2 linked regions of the Nothobranchius furzeri genome follow. The protein of the gene in region 1 interacts with the protein of each later gene in a biochemical or structural test. Links are inferred from orthologs where the notes say so. Each region holds a gene or a part of one and is shown on either strand. Other genes may lie near its edges.

Region 1 (4,324 bases):
TATCAACAGAAATATGATTAATCAGAACTAGGAGTGCACTGATCTATCGGCCCCGATCTCTGGTCTTTTTCAAGATTGGTGACACAGTCAGTGCACCCTTGGTTCATTTGAAAGCAAATCAGCGTTATAGAATAATTTTTGGGTGTCAAAACAGGTACAAAAGTTTTGTTTTCAAAATTAGGAAAATGAAAGTCTAAAGGAACAAATACGATTTTGTAGTTCAAACAGCAGTGCTGAACGTGTTTGTTTGTATTTGAGAACATTACCTAATGTCCAGTTGAAACTGGTGTTGTTTCGTGAGCTTTCATATTGGTTTTCTCAGGAAAAGGAAATTGAAAGATTAATATCATGTTTATTTAGTTAACCTCGGACCCTGTGTCCACATATGTGGACATTGGCTCCTTGACTTTTAAAATGTTATCATCTCCACCTCAGACCTTTTTGTTATTATTTATAGACACATGACATTGAAACTGATTTAAAATGTTTTGTTTTCTTTCTTTTTTTACAGGAAATTTGACAAATTTTTTATTTAATAAAATTTTAATTAAATTTTGATATTTGTAGATTTGTTTCCGTTAATGAGAGTAGACTACTCTGTAATAGTTAGATATATTTTTTTCTTTTAAATCACATCAAATTCGGGTTCAGGTTTCAGGAGGTTAAGACAAAATCGGTATTGGCAAAAATCGGTGAAAAGACCAGTGATCTGTCAAAAACTGCAATCGGTGCACCTCTAATCAGAACGGGTTTCTATAACCTGTAAAATGTGGATTATAACAGTTTTGTCTGTTTGAGTGCATCTGTCCCTGTAAAACACCCCACTGGAAATATTTTAGTGAGAATTTATTGATCATCAGACGTACATCTGTAACTCTTCGAAGTCAACCAGAGTAGATGAATTCAACAGCTTATTGAAATGAGCATGTGCAGGTGTTGAGATAATTTTGGTTTCCTCACCACACACATATAATCTTCCTAAAATTATGTTATTTTTTAAATCCTGGCATGAAAAGCAGCGACTGATCTAATCCTTTATGTCTCACAACAAGAACGCCCTCCTCTGGAGCCTTTCTGAGAGGGGTTGCATGTCCTCTAAATGAGTTTCCTCCTTGTAATCATGTTTTTCAAACACACGCCTGTTGGTAATGAAGGATTTAAGCTGACTTTAGGTGTGAGTGTGCATAAATGTCTATATGTCACCTGTCTGGGTGTGCCTTGCCTCTCTGAAAGCTGGAATGATGGAGGAATTGTGTTGTCAATCATTTGTGTGACGTAGCAGAATAATATAGTTACTAAAGCCACTGCTTGGAGTTAAAATAACAGTTTTGCAAAAATGCATTTGGATTTCCCCCAAAAACCCTGAAATAACGAGATTTTTTAGATACAAATTCAAGGTTTGAAAAACAGCCCACGTGGACAATTATTATTATTATTATTATTATTATTATTAATTGCAGGATTTTGTCTAATAAATGCATTTAGTGCTAATGTGCGCTCTCCATTTGCTCAATTCTTCATTTTCCTCGTGCGCGCCTGAGCGCGCGTGTGCGTGCGTCTCCCTGGTGAACATCGCTCCTCTCCGGACACCAGGTCACGTGTGAGGGCTCTCAGGTCCTGGGCCAAGTTCCTATTGGTGTCAGATCTTCCACAGAGCTCCAGCGCACCCACCCACTCACACATACCCGCTCGCGCGCGCGCCAGCCCACCCCACCCGCTCCACGCTGCGCAACTAACTCCTCGGCGAGGATGGACGGGCAGATGGATGCGTGGATAGATCACGTCCCCGTCTTTTAATTGAAGCGCAGATCAACACCACTCCAAGACACTTCCTCGACTTCTTCCGGTGATTCCTGCGGATCTTAAGGATTGTTTCTGATCACAAACAAAAAGAAAAAAATTGAATTTGCGGAAAGAGAGGAAAAGGGAAGGTCCGCGCCGTGCCGCGCCGCTGAGGAACGACGGAAAGTCACGGATCATGCTTATGGGAACTCCCGATTCCGCCTCAATAAGGTATTTAAAACAAATAAGTTCTTTCAGTTTGCACATTATATTAGTGTGCATATAATATCTAATAATCTACTTTTTACAACAAAAAAGCACTATGAGAAGGCAACGAGCGCTCAGTTACCTCCTGCGCTTTTCTTTCCTTTCGTCTCATTTTCCTTTAAAAATAAGTTATTTAAACATCCAATCATGTGAAAATGCGTGAAATGTCTTGCATTAAATGAAATCTCTTATTGGGAGCGCGCAAACATCAGATGCGCTTTTCATGATGGACAAAGAGAATAAAAATAACAAAAAAAAAATCAAGAGTGACGTCTGCTTTTGCTGGATTATCATGACAAATGTATTTGTCCTTCTCCATGTCTTTCCGTTTATTATAATAATCAGGATTAGCGAGGCGTAAAAGCCCCCCTCCCTATTTTTGGCGCATTTACGCTGCGTGCCCACCGTGGAATAGTGTGGGCTAAAGACCTTCAGTAGACCAGAGACAGAGTGGTCCATCTGTTCCATCACATAGCAACAGGAAGAGACAGGAAGGCATGGGAAAAGCTCCATTCTGTCTACATCCTACATGTTTAGCCTCGATTTAGTTTGTCTTTTTTGTCACATTTAAATGTTTCAGATCAGCAAAAGAATTCCAGAATGGAAGAAAATCCGAGTGAATACTAGATGGAGTTTTCAAATCGTATTTTTTTAGGGTAAAGGAGCAAAAGCTATTCAAATGGTTCTATTTTAAAAAGTTATCGACCTTCTTGTTAATTGAGGCAAAAAAAAAAAAAAAGGAAGCATCACAAAGACCCGTCTACCATCTACCAAAACATTTAGCACAACCTCCGAAACTTCTGGGACATGTTCCATGGACCGATGAGATCAAAACCGCTGCGTCGTTACATCTCAGAACACCAAAGTCAGACATGGCGGCGTCTACGGCTGCATAAGGACATGGACCACTCGCTGTGATTGGTGTAACCGTGAATTCTGATCTTTATTTAAAAAATCCTTTACAGGATCACGTCTGACCTTTGACCTTAAACAGGCCGTTCATGCTGGCGACCCTCCAATGTGGCTGGATTACATAAAGAGAGTCCATAAAGAGAGTTAGCACAAAGCCCCGACTGCTGTTGAGTTTTAGAGCTAGTTATGAAGGTTACACGTCGGGTTTTCTCCCTCACATAGAATCAAGTTGTTTTAGGTTGCTTCGTTCTCCTAAAACATGCACAAGAATGAGATTGCAGATATGAGGGTGTGAAATAGGGTGAGAAGCTCGGTCATCTGGGATGCCTCTCTGGTGAGGTTTTCCATGCACATCCAACCGGGAGACCAAGAAGACCCAAGACCTGATGGAGGGACTGTGTTTCTTGTCTGGGAAAGCCTTAGAATCCACCGGAGGAGCTGGGGGGAGTCTGGGCCTCACTGCTTAGGCTACTGCCCACGTGAGCCGACCCCCAATAAGCAAATGATGATGGATGGATGGCTCACGACTTAAACATGTATTTTAGATTTACTCGGGGTTCTTGGTTATTGAAACTTACCTGCTGATCTTTAAATTACAAAAACCCAAAACTCTGTAAATGCCAAAAGTCCCTGTAGAATGAATTCGGCACCACTGTCACCATACAGTCGTCTCGCTGTCATTTGTGCATCGGTGATGTCATCATTTTATACTACTACCTGAAAAATCTCTGTGTCATGAGATATTTATTCATTTAGTTGTTAGAATTTGTGCCAGAAACTGATTGATCTTGGTTTTATCTTCTTTCCTGATGATCCCCCCCCCCCCCCCCACCTGCATGTCCTTTCTCTCTACACCACCCACCTCTTCCTCTGACCTCCCCTCAGAGTGGCTCTGCCTGATGCTCTATCATGACTGATGGCGAGGGGAGAGTCCGCTTTCAGTACGAAGAGCGCCAAGAGCGAGGGGAGGAGCAAGGCGACGTGAGGCTTTCTGTACGGACCGCCCACAGGAGCGAGAAGTCCCCAGGTCAGCACGATGTTGACCCAGGAGGATGTCAGGATGAGGAGAAGGAGGAGAAGGAGGAGGAGGTGGAAAATAAAGGACAGAGAATCTATAGAGATGGAGACCAATGGAGTGGTGAAGTTCAGGAAGGTGTGGAGCAGGAACCAGAGCTGGAGGTGGACGCTGGACCCACGCTAGGAGTTCGGATCACAGCTCCTATTCATGACCCGGACTGTGTCTCCGACGAGGAGGAGCAGCAGCCGTACCCAGCCCTGGCTCCGCTAGTCTTCTTTTGCCTAAAACAAACGACGAGGCCTCGCAACTGGTGTCTTCGAATGGTCTGTAACCCATATCCTTTTA
Region 2 (4,314 bases), on another chromosome or scaffold:
TTTTTTTTTTTTTTTAGAAAAACGAAGTTAAAGTTTGTTTCTTGAGTTTACTGGAGTGTATAAATGTTGTTTGGACATTAAAATAATCCAACTAAAGTGAACAGTTTAAATTAAACTTAACTGATGCAAAATCTTTTGAGATAACATTCTGTAGCCTGATAACTTACCTAGTTTACTGAGAGCTGCAGTCCCAGATGCTGCACAGTCATCATAACACTGTCTGCGGACCTTCAGCAGCGTCTCTTTGGTGGTGATGGACTTCTCCAGCAGCTCTGCAGCCTTTGCCCACTCCCCTCCATAATACGCCCGAACCCCGCTGTAATACAGAAAATCATAGGGCTGCAAAAGCGACAAAACATTAGAGCTGCCGCTAAGCGACGCACCCACGGTTATGTTTATTAGAGCTAAAATAAGATAATAACGCGCCACGTATGCAGTGAGATGTTGCGCGTGCAGCGCCATGGTCCGAGGAGCAGACGGGAGTCAGAGGAAGAGGAGGAGTGAGAGAGACGTGAAGAAGAGCTCAAATCAGAAAGACACGATCACAGATCAAGGACCTCGTCGCACATTTAGTGTCGATTTTCAACTTTTTAAAATAAAATTGTTCTAGTCTAACTAAAAGTGCAGTTTTAAAACTGATTTAAACTTGTTAGAAGTAGTTTTAAAGCGGCAGTGTTTTACCGCCACTAGAGGGCGCTGTTTTTGTGTTCAACCGTAATTACCGTAATTCGGCAAATAAGGTATCTTGAACGAAAGGCAATAGTTAACCACTGATAAGATGATTCATTAAATGAGTTTAGCAATTTGTGGATTTTTGATGCATGTATAAAGTTTTAATCAGTTGTGTAGTGCTGTCAGATGTCCACGTAGTGTGAATTTTTAGAATAACAATATGTCTGGATGCTCTTGTTTTGTAGATTACGGTAATGGTTTGAAACTGTTTGCAGGTCGAGGCAGCATATATTCAAACAACAATTTTGTCTTCTGTTTTGATACCAAAATATGCATGTCTGTCAAAGTGTTTTCTTACAAGTAAGGTTTGACAGCTAAGATAAATCACGTTGTGGTCAAATAAAGTCTGTTCAACTGAGACTGAACAATTAGGATGATTAAAATCTCTCAAATCCCTGATGACTACATGTGACCATTTACGTGCTTATTTGGTAATTCGTAACATGTTTTTGTAAAAATCAAGATTAAAAATTATTTTTTAACAACATGTTTCTGAGAGCAGAAGCAGTGTTTTATCTTTTCCACAACCTAGATCATATTTTTTTGAGTCAAACATCTTAAACATCCAAAGAGGACTCATGGCAGTATTTTTGACTGAGGTAGCATTATGGTTAATATAAATGTTATTTTGACGAGATTTCTTTAGAAAACTATATGGATTTAAGTGGCTTTAGGACTGTTATATGAAAGTTTGGCTTTCCTTAAAGGTCTCGTGCTCGGCCTTCCTCCAACACAAGGCAGCCTCTCATGATTCATTCAGGCAAACAGACAGTAGCAGGCAGGCTAAACAACGGACGGGTAATCTAAAAGCTGGGTGGCCAAACCTAGAAGAACAAGGCTCCTCATTGAATAACACAATTAGATAATTCACCATGACGGATGTTGGTGAGGTTTTGATGTCGGTTTTGTCCACAATTCGTGTTCCGAAGCCGGGGGACCGTGTTCACAAAGATGAATGCGCCCTGTCATTTGCTTCGCCGGTGAGCCGTTTCTTTTATAAATCACACTAATAACTCACCGGAAGAGCAGAGCTATTTTCTCATTGTATTCGTCTCATGAAATTTAGTCTGACCTACAATTTTTTTACTCCTCTTTAACGAACTGCTTTACTACATGTTCTCTCAGCTAACTGGCAAGCTAGCGTCAAGCTAAGCTAATAATGCATTGTAATGGAAACGTAGCTTTTAGCTATCTCTGCTGGTTTAACTGTCAAACCAGAAAGCAAGATAACAAATGTTATGTGGCTACAACTATAGCCGAATTTTTGGAGAAGTTGTCATAAAAATGATCTTAGTGCTATAAACCTTTGGTGTTATACTTGTGAACATAGAAATCAATAAATTAACGTTAGTTACCTTGTTCTACAATGCTAACTAAGCTAACTAAGTTGCCCAGGTTACATCCACTGATGCTTTGTCACTGAGATGCACTGATTGGTTCCAACTTTTTTGTGTTGTGGACAGGTGGTGAGAGATCTAGGAGGTTGTGCAACAGTAAACATTAGTTTCTGTTTTTCAGGAGAGTGATGGAGGCCTGTACGTGTGCATGAACAGCTTTCTGGGCTTTGGTAGTCAGTACGTTGACAGACACCATGCTCGGACTGGCCATAGGGCTTACCTGCACATAACCCGGACTCGTAAGGCCAAGGTAGACCCTTGAAACCGTATGAATAATGTAAAAAATTTGAAAAATGTTCCATTTTTAAAATCATGTTCTATCATTATGCTTACAGAAGGAAGATGACAACAACTCTGGCTCTGGACACCCACCTAAGAAAAAGCCCACTAGGCTGGCAATAGGTAAGACGTCATGCTAAATTATTTGAATCGGCTTTAAAGTAAACCTGTGATTGCTGTGATAGTTTAAAAAAAAAACTCAAATTTAGTTTTTCTTGTAGTTTTTTGGATATCAAATCAATCAATCCTCTTTTTGTCATTTATCTTTTATATGCAGAATATTTTATGTTTTTTTTAATCATTCTTGTTTGTGCAAAACATAGGTCCCACTTTAATTCACTAAAATTTCATCATTGGGATTTTTTAATAGTAAAATGTACTGAAGGCATTTTACGGTCATCGTTACATGTCTTCTGTCTTTGCTGTTTTTCTTCTGCCCTAGGGATTGAAGGAGGCTTTGATGTTGAACAAGATCAGTATGAGGAGGATGTAAAGGTGGTCATTTTACCAGACAGACAGGAAGTGACTTCAGAGGATCTTGCTACAATGACTGATGTTGTCAGAGAGCGGGTGAGTCATCAAAAAATTAATTTTGTATCAAATAAAATCATGGGATGTTTAAATAAAATGAAACAAATCCCTCTAATTGCAATCTGGCTGATTCATTCCTTAAAACATTAAATTTTGTGCTGCACTATCAATAATTTTTTAATAAGAAATTAGTTTAAATAAAGGAGTTCTCATTTATGGCTTGCATGGTGGCGCAGTGGTTAGCACTGTTGCCTCGCAGCACGAAGGTTGCAGGTTCGAAACTCGGCTGCAGCCTTTCTGCGTGGAGTTGCGTGTTCTCCCCATGCATGCGTGGGTTTCCTCCGGGTTCTCCGGTTTCCCCCACAGATCACAACATGCCCTATAGGTTATAAACTGTAAGTCGCTTTGGATAAAAGCGTCTGCCAAATAAATAAACATAAACATGTCTTGTTGTGTAAATCTAGGTGTCTCTGTCAATGACGGGTATCATGACCGCCGACTCCGTGTCTCATGCCTTACAAGTCCAGCAGTGGGACGGAGAAGTGAGACACGAGTCGAAGCATGCCGCCGACCTTAAACAGCTGGACAATGGACTCAAGATCCCTCCCAGGTGAAGTCAAAGCTGTCTGGATCTTGTTCTCAGTTGCTTTTCATCAGACGATGGATCACCATCCAGAACGTGAAAAGAAAAAGTGAAATGTATATTTTAGAACCCATGCATCTGAAGGTTTTGCTTTTCTTTGTAGCGGCTGGCGTTGTGAAGTCTGTGACCTTCAGGAAAATCTGTGGATGAACCTGACGGATGGGAAAGTCCTTTGCGGTCGCAGGTATTTTGACGGCTCTGGGGGCAACAACCACGCTCTTCTCCACTACCAGGAGACCGGTTACCCCCTCGCTGTCAAACTTGGTACCATCACTCCAGATGGTGCTGGTGAGCAGAAACCTTTTTAAGCTGTAATTTGAGTATTTTTGGTGTTTTTTGCTGAATTGATCGAGTTTATGTTTTCATCCGTCCACTGCTGGTTTTCATCTGCTGCCTGTTTTCTTATGTCCAGATGTGTATTCCTATGATGAGGATGACATGGTGCTGGATTCCAAGTTACCGGAGCACCTAAGTCACTTTGGCATTGACATGATGACTATGGAGAAGGTGAGACTTGTGTTAAAATGTATTTTATTTAGAAAAACCGACACCGCTGCGAAGCTGCAGAGCGCTACTCTCAGGAGTGAAGGGAAACTAGAGACGACAGTTCGAAGTAGAGGGAGAGAAAAGGTACCTGACGCCGGGGACACACCGGTCGCCGAAGCGCCGGGAGGCGAAGCGCTCACGAAATTCGGCCACTGCTCCTCAGTTCAGACCTGACGCTTCTTTCTC

Evidence for each region.
Region 2: the proteins of cacna1ha (region 1) and usp5 form a complex in vitro, tested with the Homo sapiens proteins (2 studies listed by BioGRID, with this or other methods). The link is inferred for Nothobranchius furzeri from reciprocal best matches to the Homo sapiens genes CACNA1H and USP5.

What each region holds. Positions count from the first base shown.
Region 1 is NC_091752.1:49,325,501-49,329,824, reverse strand, and holds the start of cacna1ha (voltage-dependent T-type calcium channel subunit alpha-1H), read left to right. Parts: upstream 1-1,463; 5' UTR 1,464-2,013; intron 2,014-3,846; 5' UTR 3,847-3,870; coding exon 3,871-4,313; intron 4,314-4,324.
Region 2 is NC_091745.1:74,214,399-74,218,712, forward strand, and holds the start of usp5 (ubiquitin carboxyl-terminal hydrolase 5), read left to right. Parts: upstream 1-1,466; 5' UTR 1,467-1,604; coding exon 1,605-1,712; intron 1,713-2,250; coding exon 2,251-2,379; intron 2,380-2,464; coding exon 2,465-2,531; intron 2,532-2,850; coding exon 2,851-2,978; intron 2,979-3,403; coding exon 3,404-3,549; intron 3,550-3,685; coding exon 3,686-3,870; intron 3,871-3,994; coding exon 3,995-4,089; intron 4,090-4,314. Other genes in the region: p3h3 (prolyl 3-hydroxylase 3), read right to left, coding at 168-462. UniProt on the Homo sapiens protein: Deubiquitinating enzyme that participates in a wide range of cellular processes by specifically cleaving isopeptide bonds between ubiquitin and substrate proteins or ubiquitin itself.